Linked DNA regions of Caenorhabditis elegans. The protein of the gene in region 2 purifies or fractionates together with the protein of the main gene of each other region. This does not show direct contact. Each region holds a gene or a part of one and is shown on either strand. Other genes may lie near its edges.

What was found.
Region 1: the proteins of C35D10.6 (region 2) and F21C10.9 fractionate together in Caenorhabditis elegans (co-fractionation; one large-scale study listed by BioGRID). This does not show direct contact.
Region 3: the proteins of C35D10.6 (region 2) and rskn-2 fractionate together in Caenorhabditis elegans (co-fractionation; one large-scale study listed by BioGRID). This does not show direct contact.

Annotation. Positions count from the first base shown.
Region 1 is NC_003283.11:9,092,729-9,102,153, forward strand, and holds F21C10.9 (N-acetyltransferase domain-containing protein), read right to left. Parts: upstream 5,969-9,425; 5' UTR 5,932-5,968; coding exon 5,763-5,931; intron 5,493-5,762; coding exon 5,325-5,492; intron 5,277-5,324; coding exon 5,152-5,276; intron 5,104-5,151; coding exon 4,905-5,103; intron 4,859-4,904; coding exon 4,566-4,858; 3' UTR 4,473-4,565; downstream 1-4,472. Other genes in the region: T27E4.1 (C2 domain-containing protein), read left to right, coding at 1-10, 264-353, 528-650, 699-1,056, 1,183-1,249, 1,296-1,424, 1,487-1,607; F21C10.10 (3-hydroxyacyl-CoA dehydrogenase NAD binding domain-containing protein), read left to right, coding at 3,542-3,596, 3,643-3,785, 3,873-4,118, 4,164-4,400; frpr-6 (G-protein coupled receptors family 1 profile domain-containing protein), read right to left, coding at 7,053-7,173, 7,223-7,347, 7,397-7,522, 7,568-7,873, 7,985-8,141, 8,191-8,405.
Region 2 is NC_003281.10:4,854,582-4,864,086, forward strand, and holds C35D10.6 (NADP-dependent oxidoreductase domain-containing protein), read left to right. Parts: upstream 1-4,757; 5' UTR 4,758-4,762; coding exon 4,763-4,822; intron 4,823-4,870; coding exon 4,871-5,016; intron 5,017-5,354; coding exon 5,355-5,733; intron 5,734-5,775; coding exon 5,776-5,973; intron 5,974-6,024; coding exon 6,025-6,105; 3' UTR 6,106-6,191; downstream 6,192-9,505. Other genes in the region: ced-4 (Cell death protein 4), read left to right, coding at 1-102, 149-376; C35D10.8 (PH domain-containing protein), read left to right, coding at 755-759, 855-993, 1,039-1,152, 1,202-1,351, 1,399-1,491; C35D10.7 (ULP_PROTEASE domain-containing protein), read left to right, coding at 1,622-1,648, 2,278-2,760, 2,806-2,860, 3,085-3,782, 3,958-4,110, 4,166-4,316, 4,510-4,556; C35D10.10 (Thioredoxin-related transmembrane protein 2 homolog), read right to left, coding at 6,262-6,421, 6,470-6,776, 6,822-6,996, 7,050-7,205; C35D10.5 (Ubiquinol-cytochrome c chaperone domain-containing protein), read left to right, coding at 7,771-7,878, 7,923-8,122, 8,172-8,297, 8,343-8,445, 8,497-8,694; coq-8 (Atypical kinase coq-8, mitochondrial), read left to right, coding at 8,857-9,045, 9,222-9,505.
Region 3 is NC_003279.8:8,008,779-8,022,147, reverse strand, and holds rskn-2 (Ribosomal protein S6 kinase), read right to left. Parts: upstream 7,739-13,369; 5' UTR 7,681-7,738; coding exon 7,516-7,680; intron 7,246-7,515; coding exon 6,848-7,245; intron 6,468-6,847; coding exon 6,321-6,467; intron 6,277-6,320; coding exon 5,970-6,276; intron 5,865-5,969; coding exon 5,692-5,864; intron 5,568-5,691; coding exon 5,336-5,567; intron 5,277-5,335; coding exon 5,187-5,276; intron 5,015-5,186; coding exon 4,893-5,014; intron 4,365-4,892; coding exon 4,256-4,364; intron 4,010-4,255; coding exon 3,730-4,009; intron 3,679-3,729; coding exon 3,531-3,678; intron 3,228-3,530; coding exon 3,077-3,227; 3' UTR 2,568-3,076; downstream 1-2,567. Other genes in the region: C54G4.7 (AB hydrolase-1 domain-containing protein), read right to left, coding at 1-418, 789-967, 1,017-1,104, 1,173-1,294; dod-18 (Nucleotide PPase), read left to right, coding at 1,281-1,346, 1,394-1,528, 1,748-1,851, 1,895-2,047, 2,318-2,453; C54G4.2 (Bromo domain-containing protein), read right to left, coding at 13,119-13,289. UniProt on the Caenorhabditis elegans protein: Serine/threonine kinase that may play a role in mediating the mitogen- and stress-induced effects on transcription. May repress transcription via phosphorylation of 'Ser-1' of histone H2A. May phosphorylate histone H3.

The DNA.
Region 1 (9,425 bases), on a different chromosome or scaffold from region 2:
CGACGCGGAGGTATGATTTATAATATGAAATATACTTAATTGAGAATATTGAATTCTCAAAAATTATATTTTCATAAGATTGAGAGTAATTTAGAAAAACTAATAAATAAATTTATTTAATAAAAATAAATTTAACGGCCCCTCAATAAAACAAATTGACAATTAAAATTATAAAGAATTGAACGGTGTGGTAGAAAATTTGTAAAGTTCCAATCTTTCAAATTCATCATTCATAACTAGTTTTCTAAAACTTATATTTTCAGGTTCCGACACCAAGGAGGGTGCAGCCATGTCTGTCGGTGGCATTTGAATATGTGGAAGCTGAGAATGAATTTAACTTCTACATCCGAAATGTATGTATTTACATACATATAAAACTTGAAAAATGAGGGTATATGAACTATTCAATTTAGTTACTTTAAAAGCGAATAAAAACCTGCCAGAAGTGCGAATAAAAATTTTGGACACTTCACTAATACTCTATTCATAGTAAAAAAGCTAATTTTTATTAAGAAAATATTTTTTAGGTTACAAACTACCCAATTTCCCCAACACTTCACAAAACCGAATCACGAGCTGTTATGCATCTAGTAAAAGGAATATCAAGAAAAACTTCGGTGATGGGATGGGCAAGAACCATCACTTGGCAAGTACGTGAATATTACTTTTGATAGAATTCTGTAATTTCAAATGTTCAGGATATCAAAGAAAAAGATCCGTTCACATATCAAACGCTGAATGTCGTACGTGCTTCCACAACTATTTACAATGAATTTTTCACATGCAAAGTGGCGCCGCGGGAATTCAAAAATACTCTTCTTCGTATTCAAATCTGTGATATCGACGAGTTTGATCAGAATGTGATTGTGGCAGAAATGGATTACTGGATAAACACACATATCATATCACAATTCACACAATTTGAATTGCCATTCCCTCCATTTACACCGGATATTGGAGAAATTGAGTTACACATGACATATCTACCAACTTCACAACGACTTATCTTGCATTATTCAACTGTGACAAACTTGAAATTGGACGAAAGTTGCAGTGGTAAGCAAATTTGGTCAATGAGTGTACCAAGCATTAATTTGAAATAATAGTTTTGAGTTTTAACAATAGTTTTTGGGAGGCGCTTTTTTTTTAATTTTTCAAACGTTTCTCATAAATATTTTTCAGCAATATTCATTCGTGGCGTCATGTTTGTTGGTGGGAGACAATTTGAACGGCATCATTCCGAAACTAGGCAAATCCCAGTACTTTTTCAATAATATATTTTATATTTTTGACAGACGGCGATTGGAAAATGCTTGTACAGATGACGGAATGCATTTCACTCACAAGTTGATTTTTGATTTAGATCGAAAATATGTTCCCAAAGCTGAAGTAATTATTCATGTGCTGCAAGTTGTGGGTGATAAGTAAGAATTTGAGCTCAGTGGCATTTGAAAATTTGAAAAGTTGTATTAATGAACAATTGCAGACATCTGGTGGTCGGGCAGGTGTCACTTTCAATGCTTCACTCGGGTCAATGCCAGCAAATGCTCAAATCTTTGAGGACGACAATTTCACGTGTTCATCGGTTAACTCCAAGTGCTGGTTGAAAAATAAAATGTTTTGTGATAGTATTTTGTTAGTCCATTTGAAATAGTCACCGCTCTGCGCCAGCTGACTGGGTGTTCTCTGAAGGGAGCAGGCGCAAAGAACGATTGAAAACGTGGTCTAAAACTAGTGCAAAAAGATGTTTACTTCTGTCTCAACGACAAAATATTTACTTGAGAATAATTGTTCTTTAAACTGCAAATTTTGATCTATCATATTTTTAATATTTTTGTATCTTTTTAGAGAAAATATAAACAAAATTTAAACACCCATAACTTTGAAAGAAAATCATTTTCTAAAAATTGAAATTCTAGAAGTGTTTAATATATATTCTTTCTTGTTTTCTATTTCTGTTTTTGTTTTTCTTAAACCTAAGAGCATTGCCAAAGAAATTCCACATAAATCTTTGGAAAAGAGCATCGTTCTTGGTTTAAAACAGAATAGACTTCTACATGGCTTTTCAAGAGAAAATGTAATGGGTTTGTTTTGAGTTCACTATTATTTTTAGATTAAAGTTCAAAGCTTTCAATACTTATTCTAGGAATTTTGAAAATTTTAGAACAAAAACAGCTAAACTGAAAACGGCTAAATTGTTATCATACCTTGCATATAAATTTACGAAGAAAAAAGTTTGTGACGCGATGTTGGATTTTTCTGTCAAGTAGTTCCAAAGAAAATTATTTAATCAAGAAATTTCTCAATATTTTAAAAACAATTTTTTGAGAAAATAAAAGAAAATGTATTTTCAAATTATATTTTCAAATAACACCAAAACATTGAGGCATTTGGTTGAAATCACAAAAAAATATTTGAATAAATGAACTCGATGAGTTTTTGATCACATGCTTTTCAGCCAAAGAACGCTCAACTGCTCTCCGGAACAAAGAACTATCGGTCATCTTCCTTTTGAACAAACAAGTATAAAGATTCATTGTTCATCTTGCGAGATTTTTTTAAATGTGAAAATGTGTTCTTAAACATCCATTCATATGCAAATGAAATTCTCTGACAAATCGACCGCAGATAGTCCCGGGTTCGTTTTTAAGGATTATTGTTTCTAGCCAGCTAATTTTATATTTTGAAAATGAAAATTTAAAATTAAATTCCAAAAAACTTGAATTTTCTAGTTTATTTTCCCTAAGAAATTGCTTCGCATTTTGAACTTTCCCATTTTCTCTCATTTCAGTACAAAATTGTACAAACTGAGAGTGCTGGGTCCGTGCCTATACAATTATAATCAGTGTTTTATCATTCCACGTTTTCGGCATTCTATTCGGCCATGTGGTTCTCAGATAAACTTTTTAAAAAAATTGGACACATGTTTGAACCATTTGTAGTCGCTTTGCAAGCTTATCACACCAACAACCAAACACATCAAAACCGATACAAACAAAGAAAAATATTAATGTGTCTCGAAAAAAGACCACAGCGAGAAAAGAAACGCAGGAATCATATGGGGATCATGATGTTCACGTGTTCCGACGAGACCTCTCTGAGAAGTGGGTGCAAAGAACTGCAAACCAAGAGGGACTGAGAACAAAAGAAATACAAGGAGAGAAGAAGAGACGCAGATGGTCAAGATGCGAGGTGGGAGGTTCCCGGCGGGGTGAGGACAGCTGATATATAAATACATTGTATATGCTGCCTAGATGCATCTTTTTGCCAATTTGCCTTCTTTTTTTCCAATTTCGTTCCTTCTAATCCTTAATCAAATCTTTACTCTTTTTCAACAAAGAAACATCAGTGCATTAGTTTCATGGGGGCGTTGTTTTCTCATTTTCACCCATTCGGATGCTGATTCAAAGCCCATCTCTCAATTAGCAACAGCTCCTTTTTCCTCTCATTCCATTGGTTCTTCTTCAGTGCTTTTTCTTTGTTTTCTTGCGGTCACGTCACATTTTAACCATATATTCTTTCATTGTTTCTATTTCAGAAAATGTCTTCAATCGTTGTTGGAAGTGGAGTTCTTGCTGAAACTGTCGTCGGTCTTTGTAAGTTTGTCATTCTGAAAATGTATACTTAAATTACAATTTACAGTGTGCGCTGCCGGGAGACGTGTCTCTCTTGTTGCACCAAGTGGAAAGGTCAATGCTCTGAAATTCGATTCAAGTGTCATCAAGGCTATCTTGCAAGAGGACTCTGAGAAAAAGATTCCATTCGAATTCATCGATGATATTAGAGTAAGTGAGAATTCAGAAATATTGTTTTCATTTTTAATATAAAAACCTGAAAATAAGTTCTCGAAAATAAATTGCAATTTCTTTCAGCAACAACAAAAACTCGCTGACAAGAACTTCAAGAAGATTAATGTGACAACCGATATTTCGAAAATTGAAGCTGCTGATCAAATCATCGATGCATGCTCTGCCGATGAATCTTCTCTCTTCATTAATACCGCTAAAGCTGTTCCAAATGCCACAATCATCTCCCTCAACGGTGAAAAATCTCCAATTCACTCGAATCACGTGTCTGTCAAAATGTACAGCCCCATTCATGAGACAAAGACTGCAAAGGTATCAGAAGAAACAAAAACGTTGATTCATAGATCTTTCTTTCAGATGTTCACCAATTCGAAGGTTTCCAAAAAAACTCTCGAAGAAGTAAACCAACTTCTCGATTCGATGGGCCTTACTGTTCTCAGTGAGGAAGATTCTCGAGTTGCTGATCGTCTTGTACTTGATATGCAACAAGTTGAGAAATCATCATCTCTTTCGAAGCTTATTTCTACACTTGTCACACCACTCAATGCTCCAGCAACTCCTTCAATGCCAAAAGAACAATACTTGCTTTTTTAGTTCGTGTTTCTGGGAACTTTGTACATTCATTTTTCTGACTGTAATTAAGATCTCCATGTAGATCAGCTTGTTTGTAATAAATTGGAAAGCTATTTTATTGAATATAAATGTCAACTTAAAGGAAAAAAAAAGTTGATTATCATCAAATTTGAAATATTCTAAATATCAGTAATCAAAATGACAGGAGCTATTAAATGGAATGTAAACTTTCTCAAGATCTCCTTTGGGCTGATACACATCACTGTATAGTGTTAATCCACTGACACCTGCATTCAAATTGAGGCTTTTGAAAAATTTATGAAGAACTGTGAAGGATCCTTCAGGAGTATCAACAAGATGGAAAATGAGAGTAGCTTCAGGATATGTTTTGAGCATAACTTCGGAAAGGACTTTCATTGTGTAAAATGCTATGTTTGATGAATTTGCGTAAAGGTGGCAAATTTTGAAATTGTTATCTTCTGAAAGTCATTAACTGAATTCCTCAATAATTCAAAAAACTAGTACCTTGATGACCAGTAGGAACCGCAGAAATAACACCATCTATGTCTCCAGATTCATTGAAAAATGCAATTCCAATAGTGTAATCAAGTTTCTTGTAATAAATCTCCAAATACTCTCGACGATCTCTACTATTCACACTTTTATCGTACTTCAAAAACTTCTCCCAATCTGTTTCAGATAAGTCTCTCACGCGTTTTTGAATCTGTTATATAATATGCATTTTTTGTAAGTACGACGATTCTCAACTTACAAGCCCCAAATCTTGAAAATTTTTCATAGCAGAATAAAAGTCATTTGAAGTTAAACGGTAATTTTCAAGCAACGCTCCATCCACAGGAGTATCTCGGGATTTGTATTTTGGAGCCATTTTGACGACTGAAATCGGTATTTTATTTTTAAAGTTGAATCAAAATACAAAGAAACCTCCTCTTAAGCCAAGAACCAAGTCTTTCCTAATACGAGACATTGCTTGAGCCCAGATCATCGACCCGATGCCCTTTCCACGATACTCTGGAGCCAAAAGGTAAAAGCCTAACCAACAAATATCATCATACTCGTTCCAAACAACACTTCCAACCATGCTCCGCTCTGCTGTAAAAATTTCTCAATTTTACAAAATTCTCCGCCAAAATCACCAAAGTTTATTCATTTTACAAAATTAACTGTAAATAAATAGTTTAAAACAAACACAATAAAAAGTTAAAGATTTTAGTCTAAAATCATATTGCATGTCTCTAATAAATCAAAGTATTAATTGATAACATATCGGTCCTTTTTCAAACTAGTTAACTAGTACTTATCTTTTTGTTGCAATAATAAATCACGTGCTTCTAAAACTAATATCAAACAGAGAAAACTTACGCGTTTTAGTAACTGCAAAAACACTTCGCGTGGTCGGAAGAGATGGAACCATTTCGGTGACCGAATTGTCATCTGATGTCCATCCTTCGGTGTCCACTAAATTTTTCCATTGTTTCCACAATGGGCTAGATGAATCAGGATTATCAATAATTTCAAATAAAGTTTTCATCTCGAAACTAGCTGAATAAGTTGAAAGTGTGAGTCCTTTTTTTTCTGTCTAGCCAATTTATATATTAGTTCTGATATCGACCAACTGTTGAACACACAGGTTCGATCATTTACTGATAGCGTACACAAAATACACAAGCTACAAGATTCGCGTACTACAAAATGCGGAATCAAATGATAGAAAAATTTTATTTTGTAATTTACAAGAAAATGAAAACAACTGTTCACCCATTCAAAAATGAAATTTCATTTATTTCTGTACAATAAACGTTTTTTTCATAGCATATTATATTTTTATCACCCACCGCTTCCTCCTAAAAACGCAAATCTCATCACGTTAATTTAGTACAGTTTGTATAATTCCCGGTAAATATCGTTTTCCGTTAAAATTTTTATTTCATCTATCTCAAAATAGTAGATGAACTTTAAAATTCACAATTGCATGTTACGATATTTTGAACAAATCAAAACCAATCTATATTTAACATTTGGTTATTTTTTTAATTCTAGTTCCTAAAGATCACAAGTCCTATTTTTTTGGTTTCATTTATTGCATCTTTTCTTTTCATTTGCTCCGAAGTAATCAAAAGCATTCGAGGAACAAACTTTTGAGATTCTAAATTTCCCATGATTACCTTCTTTTATTCTCATAAATAATTTTTCCATCTTTTGGTTTTTACTTCTTCATTTTCAATATTTTCCTTAAACTATGCATTAAAAACGTGCAGGATGCTTCGCACTTTCTGGAGGTTTCCAAGAATGTGGCTTCTGTTAGTATATTTGGAAAGTTGCATGATTGTTTGAACTTTAGACCTTTAACTTTTGATTTTTGTACCGAGATCACTATCTCAAAAGCTAAAATTATATATTCATACTTTTCCTTAACCAGACAGTTTGTTTCCATATATATCGTCTAATTTTTAGCATATCATAAATAAAATTCACAACATTTTATTTCATTGAACCGTTCGTAAGATATAGGAAAACAACTTTCGGAATGATTATTATGACGCCGAAGAGGATGGCAAGCAGGAACAAAAAGATCCAAGGAAGTAAAAAAGAAATATCAGAAACAAAAGATCAAGAGATTGGGAGACTACTATATATCCTATTTTCAGATTATTATGCCATTGATGTTTTTGGTGATGTTTTTGCCAGTGAAGTACATATTGAATCGGATTTTTGAAGAAGCTTCCGTTTGTTCAAGTCTGTGAGGCTATTATCCGGAAGGTTGCTTCGTTTTCTAAAATAATATTTAATTGAAAGAATAAGATTTTGATTTTAAAATTTACTTGAACAAATAGCACAAAATATTCCTGAATCTAGCCGAGAAAAAGTAATATATGAAGAATGTCGTGCCAATATGAATGACGATGAGAATATTAGATACTTCAATCATCACTTCGAAATATTCATTCTGAAATGACATGTTCAGATTATTTTATTTAAATCTTTTAAAAACGTACGTGTCGATTGAGAAAATCTTTAAAAATGCTCTCGAACAATTTGAGAGCCATACTGAAAAAGTGACAGAATCCAAAGAGAATAGTCACAACCAACAACATCACAGTTGTATTTTGCTCTTTTTGAAGCTGGAAATATAATAATAATAGAATACAAACGTGTAAAATATTTACCGAAGTCGTCAAAAGTGCTCTCTCCTTCCTTGATTTTCTCAGTTCATTGATGACTTTCATGTTTGCAATGAACATTATAACAAATGGCAGAAGGTAGTCAAAAATGACAGAAATGATGATAAAATATGAAATGTAGTACCACCAGTGCTCTTCTGCATCCAAAATTCCACGTTTTGGCCAGTATCCCAATGCATCCGAATAGCCAATTTGGTATTCAAAGAATTTAGGGAAGTTCAGAATAATTGAAAATGTTATGATGGCTATAACAATTCTAACTGAGTTTTTGAATGTGCACCAAATGTGGACCTGTAAATATTTTCAAATTAGATTTTCTGTGTTGAGATTATAATTTGAAATAAAATTCTGATGTGAATAGTTTCCAATTGTCTATTGACAATTTCACTTCACAAGACTTACCTGTAACGGTCGGCAGACTGCAATCCATCGTTCTACAGTAATCACCACCATTATATAAAGACTTGCAGTTTTTGCAGTCATGCATAACGGATAGAAGAATTTTGTTGAAAATGCAATAAACATACGGCGCATTGACCAAGCACCATAGACATTGTCCCTGAAAACAAGATAGTTAAAACCAATTAAAAAAAATATTGCAAACTAACCAAATAGGCAAATATGAGATGCTATATAGTGGAAGCGCAAAAAGAAGCACAAAAATGTCACAAATTGAAAGTGAGTAGAGTAAGAAGGCGACAGTTGACTTTCGCATGTTTGGAGTTGTGTAGACGTATAGGGACAATCCATTTCCAACTAATCCAACTAGTATTATTGGAAGATAAATCATTGAAACATATTCGGGCCATCCAGTCAATTGCATATTGTTCGAGAAATTGAATCTGAAAATTGTCGATTGAAAATTTTCGAAATCTTTTGTAATTACAGAGCTGGAGAAATGTCATATACACTTGTCGAGCAAAGAAACATTTTCCCTAGAAAAAAAAACGAAAATAAGAAAATTGATTTTCAAGAGAGCTACAAAACCAGGAAACATGTAAAAAAGAAGCATCGGGAATAAATATTTTTTGAGCACACCTATTGTGCTCCGAACTCTTGCATTATTTCCACTTTATTCAAAATATTTTCAAAAACAACTAACACATCCCATCACAGGCGGAAGATTTTTATATGAAAACAGAACGAAAAGCAATAATTAAACAAAAAGTATCATTTAGTCAACTGACGTTACTTGTCTGTCTGGAGTTGACAAAAAGAACTTTCATAAGGTACTTTGAAATGACAAACTACAAAAAAGTGGAAGTTGGAGTTATAACATATTTACTGAAAATGAGGAATAAGGAAGAAGAAGCGTCTTATTCTCATTATTAAAATGTATTAATAGAGCGGAAAAGGGAGAATCTGGGTGGAACAACTCTCAAGAATAATGAGAGTTTTCAAAGATTTTTGAGTTTTTAAAATATATCCAAAATCTGAAATAGATAGTTTATAAAGCTCAAAAAAGGAAATGCATCGATTACCTGAAGACAAGAGGAAATGAGATAGGAAATTGCATCCAGCAAAGTGCACGAAGTTAAAAAAATGTTATTGCAGAACACTTTCTTGATTGAAATTTCAATGTTTTTAGATTGAAAACAAGAATATTCTGGATTTCTTTCTGTCATGAGCTCCAACAATGACATTAAAGTTGATTGATTAAATTGAATTAAAAAATAATAATTTATATTCATGAAAATTTATTACAAGCTTGAAATGGCAAAAAAATTATGAACAGACTGGAATAAAAACCCAGTTTATATCATGATAAAACATACATAGTTAGTGACGTGGAATTGTACTCTTTTATATCCAGAGGGCGGATATGGTAGAAATAATAAATAGT
Region 2 (9,505 bases):
GGAGCTCTTCTCAGTGGAAAACGAATGCCCGTTTTGACATTCAAAATTGATCATATTATCCATATGTTCTTGAAACACGTCGTTGATGCACAAACTATCGCCGTATGCTGAAAATGTCTCAACTTTCAATTAAATTTTAAATTTTCAGAATGGAATCTCAATTCTCGAGCAGCGTCTTCTTGAAATAGGAAACAATAATGTATCAGTACCGGAGCGACATATACCATCACATTTCCAAAAATTCCGTCGTTCATCAGCCAGTGAGATGTATCCAAAAACTACAGAAGAAACTGTGATCCGTCCTGAAGACTTCCCAAAGTTCATGCAATTGCACCAGAAATTCTATGACTCCCTCAAAAATTTTGCATGCTGTTAAAACCTATCGTGTACAATATTGCCTGTATATTCCCCTCGAAATACGTTTATACTTTTTCGCACGAGTTTTCTCATTTTTTCATTTGTACTTGTTTTATTTCTCTCCAAAATTTCAGATCTATCCCAAATGTTCTTAAATTTAATGTTTTCTACAGATACTCAACACATCTTGTTTCATCTCATCCTTGCTTTTTTTTTTCAAATATATTCAGTTTCTTTTATAATTTTAATTAATCGAATTAATACATTCACGTAAAGAATTTCGTGGACTATTATTTTATCGCATCCAAATGATTTATTCCCTATTGTTCGAAACTTCCAAATTGATCATTTTTAAACACGCCTCATTAAATTGAAAGTCGTACTTTTAGTCTCGAACATGAAGTAAGTTATTTTCTGTGTTCTAAATTCAAAGTGCATTCCAAAAGGACATTTGATGAGTTTTCACGAAAACCGTAATTTTTACAATTTCCTTTCAGTTTTGAAGATGTTCGATTTCTTTCCTCTGTTGGCGTCATTACTACATTTGCTTTGCTGCTTCACTTTATCGAGATTCTTGCCATCAATGGAGTTCCATCTAGACCGATAGCAGTCTTCATATCATTATCCCTGTATATTGTACTGTTTCAGTATTTTAACTTATCGATTACGTACTATTTTCAGTGGTTCACTGTTTTCGGTCAATGGGTGACACGTGCTCGACGAGCAATTTTCAACGAACGCAATCTCCTAGTCACTTATCAACCAAGAGCCCTCACCCATGGACATCTCTTTGTGGTATTTGCATGATTCAACGAAGTTTTAGTCTTAAGATTCATGATTTCAGCCAGATCCGCCGACGCCTTGTCGTCTGTCCATTACACCATGTGAATCGGGAAGTGACACGGAGTTCAAGAATGCACGGGATGCTCATTACAAAGATGAATTTCATAGAGCGATTAAAATGGCAAACGAACGACTAGTAATTCGACAAGAGGTTCAAATATTATTTATTTACATTTTTAATACTGGAAATGCTTTCAGAGTACCCAAATCATGAGAATGGAATTCAATACTGATACAAGCTCGCCACCAACATCTCCGGACAAGTCAGAAAAATCACCCGAATTCTTCTAAGATTGACTTCAATAAAATTATTATTTTTCGTTTTGTTGTTAGATATACCATTTTAAACAGTTTCGGTCTGAAAATATCGGAATGTTGGTCTTCTTCTTTCATTCTTATTTACTATTTCAGGCGAGAAATCATGCACCAAAATAACGGAGATTATCGGGTAAATAATAATAAATGTTTACTAAAAGCTACAGTACTTTTGCATCCTTCAAGGGAGGTGCATTCATGCGGAAGAGTCTCGCAGCGAAAACGCGATAGCGCTTACTGTAGAATTTCAGTTTGGAAGATTCGAGTTTTTTGGGCCTCCATTTTTCCTTCTTTTATTGAATTTTCTCAGTTTCTTCGGCAAGGTTCATTAAGTACAGTTAGCCATCAATTTTTCTATTATTATGTTCATTCTGAATGAATGCACACGCTTTCGAAAAGAGATAAGAACATTTATTTCAATTACTCTGCAGGAAGGTAGAATCAATGCAAGTGAAAGCGCGCGAAACATGTGTTTTCAAAATCTATGACGAAATCTCTATGTTCTAGGTGTGGAAACCCGCAGTTTCTTTTAAACAAAAGTTAATATTGTTGTTTTATTAACACCCCCTTTGAAATTTAACTCGGTCTACCCATTTTCCTACACGACTTTGCTTCTTTTTGTTAATTTTTCTGATTTTTTAGCATTCAAGAGAGCCAGTTAACATTTTTAAAACTATTTGGTATCTATAGTTTTTTCCAAACAAATATTCTCATCGTGTAAAAAATTTTCTCATTGAATTCTAAAGCTTTGATGTTTTTCAGGTCAGAGGATCTCGTCCATCGAGAAGTTCTGAGCACGCCGGCCCTTCTCTCCACTGCAAGAAGCCCGAAGGTTCCATTAGAGATACTCTTCGACTGTCTGGCAGCTTCAAAATCTACAAAGAGCCTATGCCGGAACTGGTATGTGACATACACTTGGAAAAGCTTGCGGAAAACATCCAAAAGTATTCGAAAATCGAAGAAAGGAAATACAGAGAAAACGATATGCATGTGAATGACGATTCACATAGTTCCGATAGTAGACCCACATCGGATAATGAAGTTAGCTCGAGCTCTGACAGAAATAACGATGAACCAAGTGTGCGGAGAAAGAGAAAATCCGTCGAGAATATGTGTCATGAACGAGAGCACCACGGGGATCATTTACAGATGCAAGTAGCTTCAGTGATTGCATCGAACCTGGGACCCATGGTGGAGATTGTGGAAAAGAAGCTCTTGCAACACAAAAATGCGGAAAAACTTTTGGTAAGCAACTGGAGTAAACTTGATTACTGAATATTTCTTTTTCAGAACGATGGCCGGGAAGTTTTCATTAAAACGTTGGAGGAACATAATCAGAAAAAAGGTATTGTGATAATAATAACATTTATTTGTCTCTGTAATAGCTATAGTGGGTGTCAGATGCTTTACATATTTTTGATTAATTTCTTTAAAGGCTCATTGTAGGGAGACACTTTTATTTTGATGATAGGAACTTTTCACAGCACATGTGCCTTCCATGTAGCTTTAAAAAATATGTTTCCACTGATATATAATCTTCCGCACTTTTTTATCTAAAAATAATTTCAGAAAAGGTTGAAAGAAAGGCGAAGCTCGTAGCAATACCACCAATGAAAGCTAGAAACAGGAGGTCTTCACGCAATAGCTTGGTGTACATAGATGGTCCTTCTACTTCTGAAAGTCATTCTTCAATGGTTCAACAAGTTCCCATCATCGACAACATTCCCGAAGTGCTCGAAAATGAGACAGCTGTCTGTTCCATTTCTAGTGAAGCAGATCATAATTCGAGAGGAATCAAAGATAATCAAGAATTTGCAATTGAAATCAGTGGGGAAGTGTCTCGAACCGACGACATTTGTGATGACTTTGCCGTGTTCCTCAAAAAATGCACAGTACTATTGACGAAATTTATTGACTCCTACTATGATTTCCGTTCAACTATGAAACTTAAGCCAGAAGATGCCATTGAGCACTGGAGTGCTGAACGTTTGACCAAAGAGGAACACGCCGCGAGGGTCACAAGATTTGATGTGGCGATCGCTAGAGCGACACGTGTGCAGTATAACATCGATATCAAGCTTCTAACAAAGCAAAGTTTTGTGTTTGACGATGATCGTGAAGCTGCCATTAATAAGAGGCTCGCCCGAATCGAGCGTTTTGTGAACGAACAACATGAAGAAATCAATTGGTTTTGTTTTTCAAATTTTTCACTCATGGATATTGGAGAAACGAAGGATAGATATTGTCTCGGCGATTTTTATGACAAGGTATTACAACTTTTAAAATGTAAAATGGCCACGAAATACTGAATTTGATAACGAGACTGTTTCAAAAATTAATTTTTTTTTTTTTGAAGTCTTGTTGTAAAATTCGGTTTTTAGGGTCATTTTAACTATTGAAACAACACAAAAGTTTGATATATAATGTGTATTTTTTTCGCAGGCTATCAGTATGATTCCAAAAGTGAAAGATGTCCCGAGTGTGGTGCAACTGGCGAAAGAGTGTAAGATGTGGTCCGCATTTGAACGAATTCTCAAGCAATACAATTTTGAGCCGCTGAAAGTTTTTGAAGAATTGCAAAAAATGCTTGAAAAGGTACATTTCAGTTGTTCTGTTCGAATTTAAATGTTTACATAAAATTAATTTTCAGGATTATTTTCTACCGAAAGGTAAGATCTTCTGCCAATTCTTGCTCAATGTCGCCCAACTGTTTTCCTATGATGTCGTTAAGAATGAATGGTCTTGCATCAAACAAATCGACGGGACGTTGTTTTCGGGAGTCCCATTTGATCGCGATGGAAGTGAGTTGGCTGAAAATTATTGAAAAAAAATTAGAAAATTACATTTTTCATCTGAAAAATTGGAAAGTTAGTCTGAAATTCTGAAATATCACAAAAGAAATGCGAAAACGATAAATTTAAAAAAAATTAAAAATCCAAATTAAAAAAAAAACCGAAAACTTCAGATAATCATAATAATCTATGTATTTTTCAGATCTACTCCCCACTTCTCAAAATTCGCCGACCGAATGCTCTTCTTGATTGTGTCATTTTTCTCATTTTTCCATGTAACACATCTAATCATTTCATTTTCATCTTACCATTTTCATATTTTAAACTTGCTGCACAATACATTTTTCCTTTTAAAAATCGTTTTTTTTTTCAGTCTTTTTTGGTTTGAAGCCAACAGTTATTTATTTACTTTTAAACAATTATTTCAAGTGTAATTGTTTTGCTTTTCAGGATCAATGGAGCATCGTGAATATGTTAAGAACAACATGCCATTGATCGGAATTGGCACGTGGCAGGTATTGACTTCGAATAAATCAATTTTTTGACTAAAAAATAAATTTAAGGTTCAAAAAGAAGAAATTCTTCGTCAAGTGATTGATGCAGGTTTCAAAGAAGGATATCGATTCATTGATACGGCACAAGTCTATAACAATGAAGCTAAAATTGGTAGAATCTTGGAAAAATTGCTTCCAGCAAATGGGTTGAAGAGGTAGGTTTTAAAAAATTTATAATTGTTTCTAAATCTTTTTTTAATCCTGCGAGAAAAAACTGGTTTTGGTGTTTCTTTGATTTGAAACCCATTTTCTCTAATTTTCAGCAAATTGTTTCGCTAAAAATGTTTAAATTGAAAAATGAAAAAAAATTCGACAAATTATATTCTAAACCAATAATCAAAGCAAACATTTAAAAAAATTTAAACTAGGTTATTCATTCAATATTATGTAATTCAAATATAGTTCAGCCACTTTTAATCTACAAAATTGAGAAATAATTTTTAAAAATTCAATAAAACCACAGAGCCACCAATTGAAGCTATCTTTTTTTCAGAGAAGACATCTGGATCACGTCAAAGTTAGCCCCATCTAATGCTGGCGTTAAGAAAGCTCGGGAAAGCATTGAGGAGTCACTGAGCAATCTTAAAGTCGAATATTTGGATCTTTTGCTCATTCACTGGCCTGGAAGTTCCCTGAAAAGCGAAAATCCGGCAAACAAGAAACTGAGAGTGGAAAGTTGGAACGTTATGTGTGAAATGATGGCTGAAGGAAAATTGCGTTCAGTTGGGGTCTCTAATTTTGAGATTTGTCATTTGGAAGAATTGAAAAAAGATTCTAATGTTGTCCCAGCAGTCAATCAAGTTGAGTATCATCCTCATTTCCATCAGGACGATCTGGTCAAATACTGTAACGAAAATAACATTCATTTCCAGGTGGGATTTTTCTAAATCTCGCTCTCTTGAAGTTTTTTTCAGGCGTACAGTAGCCTTGGCAGCCCAACATATCGTAAACAATTATCCGAAGAACCTCTGATCAAAGAACTTGCTCAAAAGTACAATGTCGAGATTCCTGTGCTCCTTCTTGGATTTGCTTATTGCCAGGGAATTAGCGTACTTCCGAGAACTACAAATCCAGAGCATGTTGCTACCAATTTTAAAGTTACTAAGCTGGCGGTCTGTTTCTAGATGGTTTTTAGTCCTAATGTCTAAAATTGGGATTTACAGATTACTCAAGAAGACATCGATCGTTTATTGGCTTTGACTGTCGAACACAAAACTTGCTGGGATCCTCGCGTAGTGGTTTGATTTCCAAAATCATTTATCATTATAAATTTAAAGCTACAAATAATCCTCTATATTCTAAATAGATGTATAAATTTTAAATGCCGAGTTATTATTTCTTGTTGTTGAAAGATCTCGTGATTGAGTCGTATATGGAAATTTTGAGCTGTCATCGAATATTTAATCTTCTTTCTTCGCTTTCGCGCCTTTTTTCTCCTTCTGCTCATTGTACAAATTGAGAAGATCGAATGCAAGAACACAGTTCTCTTCACTGAACACAAATGGAACAGCACGACGACTATCGTTGACTAGTGGACGACGAGCGATTTCCTTTGCGTCCCTAGAAATTACAGATTGGTTGAAAATTAAAATAAAGCTTAAATCTTACTTGAATACACAAATAGTTGGTAACTGTCGTGACATTGGATGAGCATTCACACGGAACCGCTCGCCTTCTTTTGCCCATCTTCCAATATCCAATTTCCCAAACTTCATGTTTGGAAGTGTGAACTTTTGACTCAATTCCGCAAAAACGGGTGAAGTATGTCTGCATTCTGGGCTCCATGTTGTGAAGAATTGAATAACCCAGATGGTATTTCGATTTCTGGTAAGTTCTTCGAAAAGCTGTTCACCTTGGAAATATGTCACTTGCTCTGGACCGTTGTACACGGGTTCAGGGAAAAGAACAGTAACGACTGAAAATTTTAATAATTATTAAGGAGATCGAGAGAAAAACTCACTTAAGCAGGCTAAAATATAGATGATTCCAGGCAGAATATCGGCACGAATGAAAAGGAACATGCCGGCGATCTTTGAGAATAAAAATATATTGTTGACGTAGTGCATCCAATTCGTCGCTTTTCGTCCTTTCCATGCCAGAATTATCAGAAGAAACATGAGAATCTCACGCTCGCGCTGAAATTTCAGTGTTCAGTTGCTTCAAAAAAAAAATAAATTCTTAATCTAACCGAATCAATCTCGCATTGCTCATTTCCTTCAACTGCAAACACATAATCACATAAAGATGTTGATCGAATCACTGGGAACGCCAGCGCTAAAAGAGTGTTGAAGAAGTGAAAAGCGGTCAGTGCTCGACGAACTTCATCGAGACGAGGTATCAGCATTCTGTTGTCTGCATAATAAAATTATAGAAAAATCAATAATTCGAGTGTTTAAAAGTATGTTGAACAGGTTGGAATAGTTTTAGCTAAAAAGTGTAATTTTAATCTTGACAATTATGTAAAATTTAAATTTAATTTTTCTTCTACCGATTTTATGAGAAAGTAATAAAGTATAAAAGTATAAAATGTTCACTGGAACATGAAACTTGTCGCCGGAGAGCAAAAAGAAAACCGAAAAATGTTCTCGTTGCTCCGATGGCCGAGCTTCCAAACAACTATTCATTTCTAGGCCACTGAAACAAAATGTTAAAAGTTTCAAACTAAACTACGTTTTCTTAATTTTTATTGTTATATTATAAGTAGACGAATACCGACTTTCAAATAGCATAAAGCTTTTCTGTTGAAAATCGTTTTTCTAGGGCCTGAATGAGTAATGAAAGTATTTGAAATGGAGTTGGAAGAGTTTTTATACTTTCTAGGCCAGGAGATGTTTCTGTTATTTTTCGGGATTTAAACATTTATTTAATTACTTTTAAATACTAATTTATAATTAAATTTTTTGTTCAGAATGCTGGGTTCAAGTCGAAACATTTTCCGACGCCTAGCTACATCGTCTCGAGTTCTTTCCAATGCGAACAAAAAGACAGTAGAAGATATGACGCAAGAGATGTTGCAAGTAAATCTCTGAGTAAATATATTAAAGGCAAAAGAAAATTTCAGATGCCAGTCTCAAGAGTTCCTCCAACTATTCAACGATTCGCGACATCTCTAAAAATGAAATTCAAGTCCGACGGTCTTGATCAATCAGTGAAATCTATTCTTGACCGCGCATCAGCTCAACTTTATTACAATTGTGCAGATAATTATGATTTCGCAAAGCTCTGTGAGGCATTTGGACTTGGAGATTATATGTCTTCGTGGTAAGCTTTCACCTTTAGTTTTTTAACCATTATTACTCCAAAACTTCAGGTACAAGTTGACACTAATGCATACATGGATGGTATTGATGAGACTTCATTCAGAATTTGATGGAAAAGCATACATGAGATTACAGCGAGGTCTTTTATCAACAATGTGGCTGGATATTGATAATAGGTAAAAAAATAAATTTCAGAGAATACTTTGAATATATATTTTCAGGCTAGGAATTGTGAGCAAAGAGTTGAATCAAATTATGACGGGGCAAAATGATATGAAGCACATGCACGGATTACATTTGCAGACGTTTTTCGAATATGACGAGGTTTGCTTAAACACACAATGCGGAAAATTCGTTTACAAAAAGCTATTCTAGGGATTCCTCCACGATGACCGTGTTCTTGCTGGTGCCATTTGGAGATGCTTATACATGAATCGAGAAGTTGATCCAATTCATTTGCTGAAAGTTGTGACATATATGAGATCTACAGTTGCTTGGTTGGAAACACAGGATACGAATCAAATTCTTGTTGAAGGAATTTCCGAATGGAAACAACTCCGGCCCTCCACTTGATTTTTTCCTTTTATTTCAGTCTTCAACAGTTTTATTTAGTTTTTAGATTCGATGTTTTTTACTCCGTTCATTTTTTTCCTCTCATTGTTTATACGCGTGTTTCTCTCCACTCTTTCCCTCGAAATTTTTGCAATAAATATCTGAATTTCAGATCCATCAAAAATGGCAGCAAAGCGGCCTCCAGCCTCGACTCTGAAGTGGTGTCAACAGGAAATGGGACCAATTTGTGAAGGAATCGGGATGGTCGTGAGAAGTCAAATTGGGTATGATGGACGGAGAATTGAGAAACAGATAAGACGAAAAGCATTGCAGACGGTTGTTATGGGAGGACAAGATGTTGACCCATTGAAGGTATGATTTAAATTTTCGAAATTTTGATTATTCTTTGAAAAATGATATACTTACTCCAAAATGTGTATTTTGAGTATTTATAAATATATACACTGAACCAAAAAGATAAAATTTTAATTTTCAATGATTTTCTTTTTATTCTGTTTTTCAACATTTCCCTAATTTCCATATTTCAGGAACCAAACAAAACCAATGCTCCACTGCTTTCCCCAACTCTTCCTTCAACAAACGAAGCTCTGCAAAGAGCAAGAGTGGTTGCTGCTGGAATTGAAACATTCGCCAAACTGATGTCTCAAGGCACTTATCCTGGATCAGCTGGCTTCACTGTTTCGGAAACAGGCGAGAGAAAATATATGAAACAAACGTCTCCAGTTCAATCGAATATCGTTGCGAATCTAATGGCAACTGCTGACAAATTGAGCAAAGGAGTTATTTCTCTGGCACCATTTCCCCTTCCTAC
Region 3 (13,369 bases), on a different chromosome or scaffold from region 2:
ATTCGGAATTCTTCGGATTTTATCAACATAGTGAGGATCTTCGAGCTGTTTCTGCAGTAAAGAATAATTAACAGCTGGAGAAATAGCTCCTTCCGTATATGATGGTGATGCTGTCGTCCATGCAAGAATAGGAACTATTGATATTGGACGTTGCGAATTTGATCCAGCAAGTTGAGCCATAAATCCACCCATCGAGACACCAGAAATTGCAAATGGACCATATCCAAGTGTCTCAGACCAATTGAAAAGATGATTACATTCTGCAATTAAAGCGGCACCCATCACAAAAAGATCCGTCACATTTTCAAGAGAAGAACGGAATTGATTCGGTGGTTTTCGATCTCCATAAAATGGATTTTGAATTAAAATAGATCCCACACCATCCTTAAGCATGTCATCAACAAGAAGATAGTGACGTCTGAAATAATAGTGATCTATGATACCAGTTTTGATTTTTTTGCATTTTTTCGAAATTTTTGTGGTCTCTGATAAGAATCATTATTCGATTTATGCATCTATGTAAGATGCGATACTTTTTATCTCAGTTTTTGAGTTTTTTTCTCTTTTTAGATTAAATATGTATTATTCAGACGCAAACTTTTTCGATCTTTGTGACAAAAATACGGTATCCGGTCTCGACACGATGAATTTTGTTAAATGCAAAAAGGTGTGCGCCTTTAAAGGAAACTGTAAGTTAAAAACTCTGCAGCGAGTTTTAAAGTACAAAAAAATTTGTCGTGCCGAGACCAGGTACCGTATTTTTTAAAATAAATTTTCAATTTTCTTACCTAAAATAAGAGTGATCTCCGGTGCCTGCCAAATGTATGCATACGGGGCCTGGTTTCTGAGGAAGATATGCTCTGAAATGTGCTCGACCGACGTTTCCTGGCATATGATTGGGAAAGAGAGTGGCATGAGGACTTGCGAAAAATCCCTCGTATGAAGTTACGCCATTTTTTGAATATTTCTGAGAATTATTTATTATTGAAAAATGTTTTTGAGAAATTAAAATTTACCTTCACAATGTCGATTTTGGGATTAAGTTCTTTCACATAATCCATCACAAGCCTCTTTGACATGACATCTCTGCGATATTTTGCCATTCTAAAATAATAATAACAATAATTAATTATCTATTAGTTTCTCAATTTCTCAATTAAAACAAAACGTACTGTTTAATTACATCCGGATGTCCCCAACTTTTTGTGAATAATTGACTGAGCACAAGAGCCGATCGAAATTTCAGATCCACGTGTTTCGCCCACGACGGCAAGTTCGGAATGAAAGAAGCCATTATTGTATTGGCAAGTCAGTCACCAAATCGACTCAAATTGTTGCAGCAAATTGTGAGAAAATGAGAATCTACAAAAAGAAAGATTTATTTCGGTTTCAGGGATTGGAAAATGTAATCGTAAAAGTTTCAAATTTCGAGGAAAATCTACCAAAAACATTGCCAGTTAAGCAGTTTGTCATTGAAACAGCTAAAGGAAAATTGACGACTATTGTGGAAGAAATGAAAAGAAAAGAGGTATAGTTATTTTTTCAGTAACTTGAGAATATAGTTATTAGTTGAAAAACAAATCGGAATTCAACAAAAAAAATACGGCAACATTTCTCGACGCGACCTAAAACTTTTTGCGCAAAATTTCAGAGTGCTGCAGCATATCGAGACCTGCTACCATATTTTTAAAATCTAAAATTGAAATTATAAAAACTGAGATATTATATTAATATATGAATTATTAAGGAGCCGTACTCTGTTATTATTGCGTGTGATACAGTAATCGAATTCAATGGAGAAATTATTGGAAAACCAACAGATGCCAATGACGCTAAAGAAACTTTGAAAAGGTAATTAAATTTTCAACATCATAATTGTATAAATTAATTTCAGACTTCGTAACAATACTCATAATGTATATACTGGAATGGCTCTACACTATCATGAAACTGATCAATATGAAGAGATCATCGAGAAAACAATTGTTCATTTTGGAGATATTCCTGATAGAGTTATCGACGAATATGTAAAAAGCGGAGAGCCATTGTTAGTTTTTTTTAGCAAAAAAAAGTTATGGAAATATTTATTGATTGAAAGTTATCAAAATTTTTGGAATTGAATTTCTTATCTAAAGTCATAAAAATGAAAGAAAAATTGGCGGTCAAGAAATTTTGAACATTTTATGAGTATTTGAAAGAGCTGCAAAACTTGAGGGATTTTTAAAATTTTCATCACGTTTTTCATCATTTTCATCACGACATTTGAAAACTCCAATAAAAAAACACGAATAACTGACCTAGTAAATCGAAATTTCAGGAAAAAAGCAGGTTCATATGGAATCGGTGACTTTGGCGCTGTCTTCGTTCGTGGAATCGAAGGATGTATGCCGAATGTGGTTGGTTTGCCACTTCACCGTCTTCACCAAGCTCTTATCGCTAAAAATATTCTCTAAAATGCTTTCACTTCCATATTTTATTTTCTCACATTACATCAGGTTTTCACGTTGATGCTTCAATCGATATTATGATTCGGAGCTTTCAAACCTTCTCCAAAATAAATATGTAAAACGAATTACTTAATTTTATTAATCTTTCAAAAAGTCGATTGGCAAGTCAATCATGCTCATCGCAAAACATGGAAGAATTTCTGGAAATGGTTCAAGAGTTCAGGGAGTCACTGGAGACAATGAAAAGATTACATGGGGATAGGTGGATGAATAAAGATATGTGTATCTAACAAAATGATTATAAAAAATTAGAAATTTACATGAGACTAGATATAATAACATAAAATGAAATGCACGAATCACAATATTTTTCAAAATTGGTAGAGGATTGACTAGAAATGCGAAATATCTAACAAATGACAATCACTACAGGTTCAATGAACATTTCAGCAACTGTACTCATAGAGAAGGCAATGCCACAAGTGTCAGGTGACGGAAAATTTGTAAAATAGTGAGAATAATGAGAGAGTACAGACTAGAAAGCATCTAGGACGAAAGAATCACAACGCAAACAGTGAGAGAAACAGGAACAGAAAGGAAGAAAAATTAAAAGAAACAAAGAAAAAGGTCTAGGAGGAGTCTGAGCCACGAGTTTCTCGGATTGTTCCAGAATTTGGTTCTCGATAGTTCATCATTCCCAAATTGCTTGGACGGGATGTTGATGATGTCATCTCTGCTTCTTGTTCTTCCGGAAGACACTCGAATTGGGTAACTCGCGAACTGGAAAATGACATAAATTGTTGAAAATGAAAGTATATTTTCAGAAACGAAAATGTTCACAATGCGATCAAAATTAGAAGTATCATATTTTTTTAGAAAATAATTATTATTAATAATTTCATAAATATAATATTTGAATAGACGTTCTAAATAGTATAAAATAAGGAATTTACAATTATTTGCAAACTTAAAAACTAAAAAATAAAATTTTAGAGAAATGTCGTCAAATGTGGTGTTTCTTGTGCACTTTGAAACCGTACCCCAAATTGGAGGAGTTTCAAATATTAGGGTTCTTGAACTCACTTTTTCGAGTTTCCAGAAGCATCCTTGTCCCCAGATTGTCTTTTGATTCCGCGTCGTTTCATGAGAGGAGCAGCAGCAACATCGAGAAGATGGAATCCATCACGATTAGCGTGGAGGAATGCGCGCAGTGTCTCATTGAATGTTTCATCTGAAAAGTCAAAAGATTAGGTTATTCAATTTTCAATAACATCAGTTTAACTACCTGCTGATGATGGCAGAATACTAGGAGTTTGAAGTGGTGTATCCATTGAAGCCGAAGACTTGAGCCACATATGAGCTGTAAGCTCTTGCATTGAAAGACGTTTCTTTGGATCCACAGTAAGAAGACCGGTTATTAAATTCTTAGCATCTGCTGACACGTTTGTCCATGCGTCTCCTGTGAATGAGAATTCTGCTCTACAAATTCTCTGCATTATTTCAGTTGCCGATTCTTGACGAGAACGTGCATGGAATGGAACTTGACCCGATAGCATTGTGAACTGAAAAATTTATTCGTAGAAAATGTGCCACACAATTTAAAATATTTCTTATGAATTTCTAATAACCAGGGTTCTCAATGCGTCCAAAAAATTTTTCACGATGTGGTACTGTAGTTGCATGCTTCCATTTCGTGATTTTTATCGATTATCAATCGTTTCTTAAATTTGAGGGGTCTTTTTGTTTTTTCTCAAAATTTTTACTTCGATTTTTGAAACATTAAATTATTACAAAATTATACAACTAACCAGTACAACTCCAAGTGACCATAAATCACATTGTTCGTTGTATTCTGGTTGAGAATCTCCAACATCTAAAACTTCTGGAGCAGCATACTGTAGTGTGAAGCAGGGGGTCCTGTAATTATGATTGAAGAATTTCATAGTGAGAGTTAGGCAAATATATAGAAGCTATTAGTGAAAACAAACGTTATTCAAAGATGAATTGGGCATTCTCTAACTCTCAAGTTTACAGAAAATTTGAGAAACTTAATGTGAGTGTTTGTGAATTGTTAGTAAACAGCTTTGTCTTGAAAATCAAGTGAGAGTCAGAGAATGAGTGTGTTTCTTCAAAAATCTCTGAAATCAAGAAAGAAACCCTTAGTAGAGATAAGTGAAAAGAAAGGTTTAAAAGGATAGAAAAAGAAGATAATCTGTAACAAGAATGCACGAAACATCACACACCACCGTCTTCCTCTCTACCAAAAGTAACTTTTTTCGAACATTTGTTCTTTTAAATTTTCAGCTTGAGACACATGCTCCCAGTTAAGAAAAAAAAACAAAAATATGCCCAATAATGAGTGAAAAAAGACAAAACACAATAACTTTTGACTAGACTAAATGTTACTCCGAGTGGAGTGAATGATTGTGTGCGATGAGACCGTACATCTTGCGCAGAACTTGAACAGACTTCAGTTGTTGTTCCATTGAATTTGGAAGTAGACGTGCAAATCCAAAATCGACTAGACGAAGGCGGGCACTTGAATCGATACTTTCAAATAGAATATTCTGGAATAAGAATAACTGTGCCCGTTTTTTTAAAAATTGCGTCATAATTTTCTAACTACTCGAGTATACTCCACCTTTAATTATTAATTTGTTTCACTTTTTGGAAGTATTTTATTCTTATGTTTTGTATTATTTTGCAGCCACTTAACATAATCTGATCATTGAAACTCACCTCTGGTTTCAAATCTCGATGAACAATTCTTTTATCATGAAGATATTTCACAGCTGATACCAACTGCCGCATGATGTCTGCTGCTTCACTCTAAAAATTTAATTTTCAGAGTAACTCCGAATTAAAGAAATGCTTAAAAGAATTCTAACCTCTGTAAATCGTTCCAATTTTCGAATTCTCTCGAGCAGCTCATTTCCAGTCAGAATCTCCATGACGAGATAAAAATGAAGAGGATCCGAATGTACATCATGAAGTTGAACAATATTCGGATGTCCTTGAACCATTTCAAGAATTCGTGCTTCACGTTGAGCCTGACTTGCGAACTTTTGTGATACGATTTTGACTGCAAACTGGGCTCCGTCAACTACGCGTTCGCATCGTCTGAATTTGTATATTTTATCTTTAAAACTATGTAAAAATAACGTTTTGTTGAACTTTTTCGAGATTTTCGAATCTAGAAAATAGTTCCAGCACATGAAATGTTGATGAAAATATAAAAATTTACCTGACCACCGAAAAAGCTCCTTTTCCTAAAAGACCAGCGTCCGACTTGTCTAGTTTGTACTTGGCAAAAAATGAAGAACTCGCGAGAAGTGCATTGACATCTTCAGCCATTAGTTCTTCACCGATAACATTGTCATTGGCAAATATAACAGATGGGGAGACATATGAGTATCCCTGTAATCACATAATTTCTTCTGGAAATTTATTTTTGTCAAACATATTTCGGAATTCGGCTCAAAATCCGGCAATCGGTGCCTGCCAAGTTAAGAAAAAACTCACTCTAAACAGAGTATTAGCATTTAATGGTGACTCTGCAGGAGAATATAATGGTGGCTGAGAAGTGAATTCAGCTGAGAAGAACTGTGTATCCAAATCATGTCCAATTCTTGGAACAATCACTGGCTTCAATGTACGCTTAACAGCTGCATCCCAGTCAATACTTGACATAAATTTATGATTTTTAATTTCATCAACTCCATTGTATCCGAGACGTTTTTCAAGTTTCTTTTCCAACAATTGGCCGATGAAATCGCGAGCATCAACATCCATAGTTTTTGGGAAAGGGACCTTCTTTGTCATAATTCGTCTAAAACTCGAAGAAATTATAAAGAAAATGAGGAAATGATTTACTTGGCAATATCTTTACTAGAGTTTTGTGCTCCATCTACAGTAAATGGTGAGCATCCAGTGAGCAATTCAAATGAAATTACACCCAAAGACCACCAATCGACAACATCACTGTATCCTCCTTCAGGGCGATTGATTACTTCTGGCGACCTGGAATCATTAAACTTGAGAATTTATTTCTTATCTATTCAGAAATTACTTTTACACAGCCGTCTGTGCCAATTTTCGTTTGTAAAGAATTATATGAAAATCTCAATGAAAAAATTCAATAGCTCAATAATCAAATATCAATGATCAATAATTTTCAACAAAAAATGATACCTTTTAATATACAACCAAAAAGTAGCAATTACCCAGTTTTTGTTAATCCTAATTTTGGAACTACATCAAAAACTACGAATTGTATATTCTAATCATGTTTAAATTATTGACATGCAAATAATTCTGAGGTTTGATAAGTTCTTTTTTTTTTTAATTCCAAATACGTTTGGCAGTGTGCCTAAACTTTGGCTGGAAATTTCAAAACTCACATATATTCAATAGTTCCACAATATGAATTGGCTCTATCCAACTCTCCGGGTAGAAACAATTTACTTAATCCAAAATCTGTCAACTTAACGTGTCCTTCTTCGTCCAATAAAATATTCTCAAGCTTCAAATCTCGATAAATAACTTTTCTTTGATGAAGACTATCAATTGCAACCACAAGTTCAGCAATTACAAATCTAGCAGCTTCTAAATCAAAATGACCTCTCGAGCAAAGATGTGTGAATAATTCTCCTCCTCTCACATATTCCATTACAATGTGCAATTTGGTATCAGTTTGGAAAGCATAGAACAAATTGACAAGAAATGGTGTTCCACGTAGACGTTCAAGTACTTGACGCTCTGCCATTGTGTGCTCCAGGGTTTTTTGTTTTGTGAGCACCTGCAATCAAATTTGTTTTTTTTTCGTTTCATATTAAAATACTAATCTATAAACTTTATTTCACCTCACTTTCCCATCTCTCAAAAATTTTTCAATCCAGTTATTTGTTTCGAAAAGTTCAAAACCATTTCAAGAATATGAATTCCGGCAATTGTCGGTTTTTTCGCTCTTGGCGAGAGATGAAAAAACAAATAATAATACAAAGGTTCAGCACCGTATAAATGAGAAATTATTATTTTTAAATTCATTTCTTTTCCAAAAATAACTCACTCTGGTCTTTCTCAACACTTTCATAGCATATATAGTATTATGATCCTTTCCACCAACTTTTCGCACAAGGAATACTTTTCCATATGCTCCTTTTCCAAGAACTCTGAGGAGAGCAAAGTTCTCCATGGAAACTTTCTCTCCTTCAGGCATCAATATATCTTCCATTTTTTCTATATATGTATGCCTTCTGCCTATTTTTTGTGTTCTTCGGGTTTAATCACCTGAAAAATAAAAATTGCACGAAATGAGGTTTTGCAAATATGCACGTAGGCATAACAAGGTTATAAGTGAAATCGACTGAGCAGAAGAGAATAGAGTGAAAACAAAATATTGAAAAAACAAACTCAATTTTTGCAGATCTAATAATTTACATATTAGTTTTCAAAACTAAATCTAGTAGTTGTTTAATTTTCCAAAAAAAAAGTAATTTTGCATTCTTCTGAAATTCGAACTTAAAGGAGCTTGTCAAAATATTTTCAATCTTTAAAAGATTAATCTAAATAAATCCATGAAAACTTCGAAATTATGACAATATTTTCAAATTTATTCATGTTTAGAGGATGACTCACAAATTGGCTAACTATAAGAGTTCTAATAACTGAGTATCAAGAGAATGATGACAAATAATAGAATTTCACAAGACAAAGTCATTAGGAAGATCTTGAGTTTTAAGTTTTGAGATCTTAGGCTTTAATAAAAGAAATCAGAAGATTATACAAAATTTGGAATGAAGACTGCGAAAAAAAGAGACATGGAAAAACAGAAATTATCACATGAATCTTGCAGAAAAGGAAATGAAAACGAGAAATCCATTACCGCTTGGAAGGTTGAGAACAAGAAGGAGAGGAAGAAAAAGAAGAAGCACAGCACAAAAAAGAGGACAACATAGCAAACAGAATAAAAAACAAAATGAAAAGTCTTCTAGAGAAAGAAAGATTTGTTGACCAACTCTATTCACCTCCGATCATTTTCAGAAATCCCCTTTCCCTTTTCTCTCCATCCAACAATATTCTGAAAACTTGAAGAAGTTGTGAGCTCAGGCTTTCCTGCCAAGAGAGCACAAGTGGTGTGGTGTCATGAGCCATAAGCAAGAAGAAGGAAGATGAAGAAGGAAAGAGAAAGAGACAACGATGCAAAAGTGAAAATATGCCATGTGTTTTGCGTGTGTGCTTCGTTTTTTCTTCCTTTCTTTTGTTGCATTTGCTGCCGTGGCTCCGGTGAGCAAGAGCAGAATCAAATGGAACACAAGAACACAACAAGCAGAAGTTAGAGGAATGAGAAGAGTGAGAAGTAAGAGAAATGGAAGATATAAACAGGAAATATCAAAACAACACTTCTACTGCTTCTAGGTACCTAGATTTGGGGAATTCGTCTAACGAAGAGAAAACTAACCAAGCTAATCAACAAAATATTAACGAGAGGAATGATGGGGCCTGTATAAATTTAGTTTCTAGCGATAAATATTAAGAATAAATATCTTGAAGCTTTTAAAATAACCTAAATTAATCACTTCTGCTTTTAAAGAAACTCAAATCAATTAGAAATAAACATTTTGCAAAAAAACCAGTGATACACTAAACATCAAACGAAATATGAAAGAAAAGTTCACTGGCCAGAAATTAAAACTAGGAATTTCAAATCTTAATACTTGAAACTGAAAAGCTCAAAATGAAAACAAGTTCATTAGTTGTTTTCATCGGAATTTTTTCAGAAAAGTAATACATTTATCTTTTAATGTTTTGTATTTTTCAAAATATTTTCGAATCTATTTTAAAATATTCACCAAAATTAGTTTTATTTTTTAAAAGGGTGTAATGGTTCCGCCCACATCTTGGTTGTTTTGCCGTTTTGCACCCACGATGGAAAAGTGAATAGAAAAAATTCTTCATACTATTTTTTAGAGTTAAAATCAAGTTTGCATTCGACTTGTGTTTTTGCTAGTCAATGAAAATTCTGCATCTGACAGCATAATTTAAAAGTTTTCTAGAGTTCACACACAAATCATATTTAAAAATATTTGATTACTTTCCGAACCCCAGGAGCAAAAGTTATAGGAACATTTATGAAAAACGTTGGACACAGCTTGTCACAATAATTGTTTTTTTTGCTATAACTATAATTATCATCACGAAAAAAGAGTAAAAGACCACAGAGAACACAAAGTTGGTCACAAAAGTAAAATGACCTCAAATGAAAAATGCAGATGGGCGAGAAAGGGTCGAATTTACATTTGCATGTGTATTTGGACTGCCAACTTAAAGTTTATGCATTCTACGTAATCAAGTTTCAGAAATTAATGGGATTATGATTAGAAAATGACATTTGCAATTATAGAGATCAATTTAATATGAATGAATTAACTGAAAGTGCAAAAATTCTGCAAAAACTAGAGTGAAATTAGTAATTCATCTGGAAGGAAAAAAACGATAGTTATTTTGTTGAAATTAGATTTTAGGATGAAAAATAAATTTTTTGTTCAAATGAGAGATGAAGAATTGATCCAAACGTGTTGCTGAAAATAGAACATTTAAAATTTGTCGAACCTGATATTTAGGGTGTGCGGAAAATCTACAAAATTGCTGATTTCTCTGCAATAAGCAAACTTATGAAAGCAAAAGCAATTTGAAAAATTCGAAAACTCTCTGGAAATAATCCTAAATTTTGTTTGAAATAGAGCCCAACTACCGAAACTTGCCAAAACTTTGACCCATTTTTTCAGCAGTGACTAACTTTCAGTCTTTAGATACTTTTAAAAAAATTCAATCAAAACAAGAATTGTGTTCAAATTGACTAAATATTATTCTACATTATATTAATTTTTTATCTAAAACAACCATATCGAAAAGAGAACATTTGCCGTACAACCCTCTTTTTGAAGAGACACTATCAAAGATCAGAGACCATTTTAGATAACACTAATTAAGTTCAAACGGAATTTTACATGGGAAAGAATCACAAATATTTTATAAGAATCAAAAAAAAAAGAACATTTTTAATAATTTTTTGATATAGCCTATGCAATGTGTTGTTTGTGTGTGTGTGGTGTGTGTCGTCGTCGGTTTTTCCCCGCTTCAATGGCATTGAAGAGAGAAACGAAAAGAAAAAGAATAGTGAGAGATTAATGGTTTATAGTAGAGACTCAGACACATTTTTTGGAGAAATGAAATATAAAGATTAGAGAAATGAGTGAAAAAGCAGGATCAGTAATTACGATTGAGCACAAAAAAGGATTTTGAAAAATCAAGTGTTTGGGAAATGTGATTATTATGGCAGAACAAGAACAAAATAATAATAATATTATTCATGAATTATAGACCAAGGTCACAACAAATCATGAATCATACAAGTTCCTACAAGCTTCTGATTTTGGAAAATATATGCCCGCAAACTAGAAAACTACTATTTGAAAATTTGTATCTATCAAAAAAAAAGAAAAAGAAAAATACACAATTAATTTTGAAAAGGGACAAAAATTCCGATTCAAAAATAGCGAACCTATTGCAAAAATTTCTGATTGAATTTAAAAAAAAATTAGCAGTTTGAAGGGAAAAACAAGAAAATAGCTGCATGAATACGTCATGCAACAAATCTCATGAAAATCGGAGCAAATGAAATTAACAAAACCGAGGATGATCTCAATCCTAAGTCAGTTAATACGTTCGTGTTTTTTTTTAGATTCTTGAACCGCATTATTTAATTTTAATTTCACGTTACTGATTTTTATGCAAATAAAATATGAACACAATACAACACAAGGTTCACATGAGTTAAAAGTTCGGGCGCGAGTTGGGCGAGTGAAGAGGCGAGGAGAAGCGCCCCCAGTCTCGGCGTATCAAAACGACTCACAATATCTTTTTAAAAAACAAACAAATTCCTTAATTACATAATGTAAAGTTTTGAGAGTTCAAATTTCCTAGCTCTCCAAAAATCTCCAGAAAAAGTAATTTCAAAAAGTGAATGATTGTAAAAGTACATTTCTGGAACAAAAGGCTTGATGAGAAAGGTGGCCAAACATAGCACATCGTCATCATTTTTCTTCGTCTCATCAACACTTGACGACCAAATGGGCGCCCTTTGGCAACAGGTTTCATCTTTTTTCAACACACCGTTCTTTTTATCTATATTTCTCTCTCCCCCCCCTCTCTCTCTCTCTCTTTCTCGCACATTTTTGTAAATTTAGAAAAGAGAGAGAGAAAATGTCATTTGACAAACACAAAGTTTACCCAGCGCTCTGGTTATATAAAATAGTTGTCTTTTCGTCTAGGCACACTAGAAAATAATCGGAAGAGGGAAAAACGTTTCAATCGTTTGTTTAACACTTCTATACACAGATCACTCAGTGGGAATGACACTAATTTTGGAATTTGAAATTAATTTGAAGATTGACAGTTTTTTATTGAAAATTTAAAAAAAATCATATGGTTTAGAAATTAGAAATTCTGACAAATTCTGACAAATTAATTTGAAAAAAATCCACTAATTTCAAGACCTGTAGAATTGCATTGAACCTGTCCTTGAAAAATATGTGTTCTCGGCCAACTTTTTTGAAAAATTTCTCCTGAACATTGTTCACATAATATCTACATACTTTATAGTCAGTGAAAAATGTACTGAAAAAAGGTTGGAGGTTTACTAAAACATGAATTTCCAAATCAATGCAATACCCACACTCCGAAAAAATGTGTTAGAAAAAAAAATGCAGGGATCGAAAATTCGAAATATTCCTGTCTTTTGCGACGTCGCGCCTATCAGTTGCTGATAAGCGGGTAAAATTGAAAAAAGAGGAGAGAAAATGTACACATGTTTACCAATGCAACAACTTTCGAGGTCAATGAAGGAAATATTAAACCGATCAATGTCATAAAAATAGGAAATAATAGGGAACGCCAAAATTAATCGATCCTAAAATAATGTTAGCAAGGTACACAAATTGACAGAAAAAAAAACAATTCAGAGGAATTTCAGATAACTGACTAGTTCTGAAACGTGCAATCTATTTCCCGAACAGTAAAGAGATTCGAAAGCCCAATTTATTCAGCTATATAAGTGGAGAGTTTTGAAAAGTTGCTCTAATAGTAAGACCGTCCCAAATATCAATATCCAAATCGAATTAAAATTAAAATTTTCATCGAAAAGTTCAAATATTTTTCTATATTGCTGTATAAATTTTTAAAGAAAAGCTTTGACACAACATGGAGAAACATGGAATTCTGTAAAGGTGCCGAAAAAATCTTCCTCACAAATCTGTTTGCTACCATATTCTGAACATGAAAAAAAATATCAAAACAGAATTAGATAGAAAGTAATGTTTTTCATATTTTATCACTTGAATTGGTAGTAAAATCAGTAGTTTCAGCAAAGTTACATAGTATTTTCTGAAATTATTGATTTTTGCTCATATGGAAAGTGAAACAATTTTGCTCGTTTGGAAAAAGTCATTGTAATGTCAACAAGCTTGAAATCTTAGTTCTTCCAGAGAAACTTTAAAATTTATTTAATCTAAAACAGTAATTGAAAAGTAGATTTATTGACATGTTAGCCCGTTTGTATTGAATTGAATAATACCAAGAAAATCATAAAGTGCTCTTTCGTTGTTGCTCCTCTTACGCATTCTCACGAGAAGCTTCGCGAGAAGCAGATTCTCGTGATCCTTCACGAGAAACAGGCTCCCGTGAGCCCTCTCGTGAACCTCTTCTTGCCTGATCCATCGCTGAGCGGAGACGTTTTTTGTACTTTTTACGGAACTTTTGAATCGAGAGCACCGGGCGACGTCTCTGGAAATTTAAGTTTGTTTTTCACACTATTTTGAGTATTTCAACGCAAAAATATCCAGGGTTCGCCCAAAGGCACATGG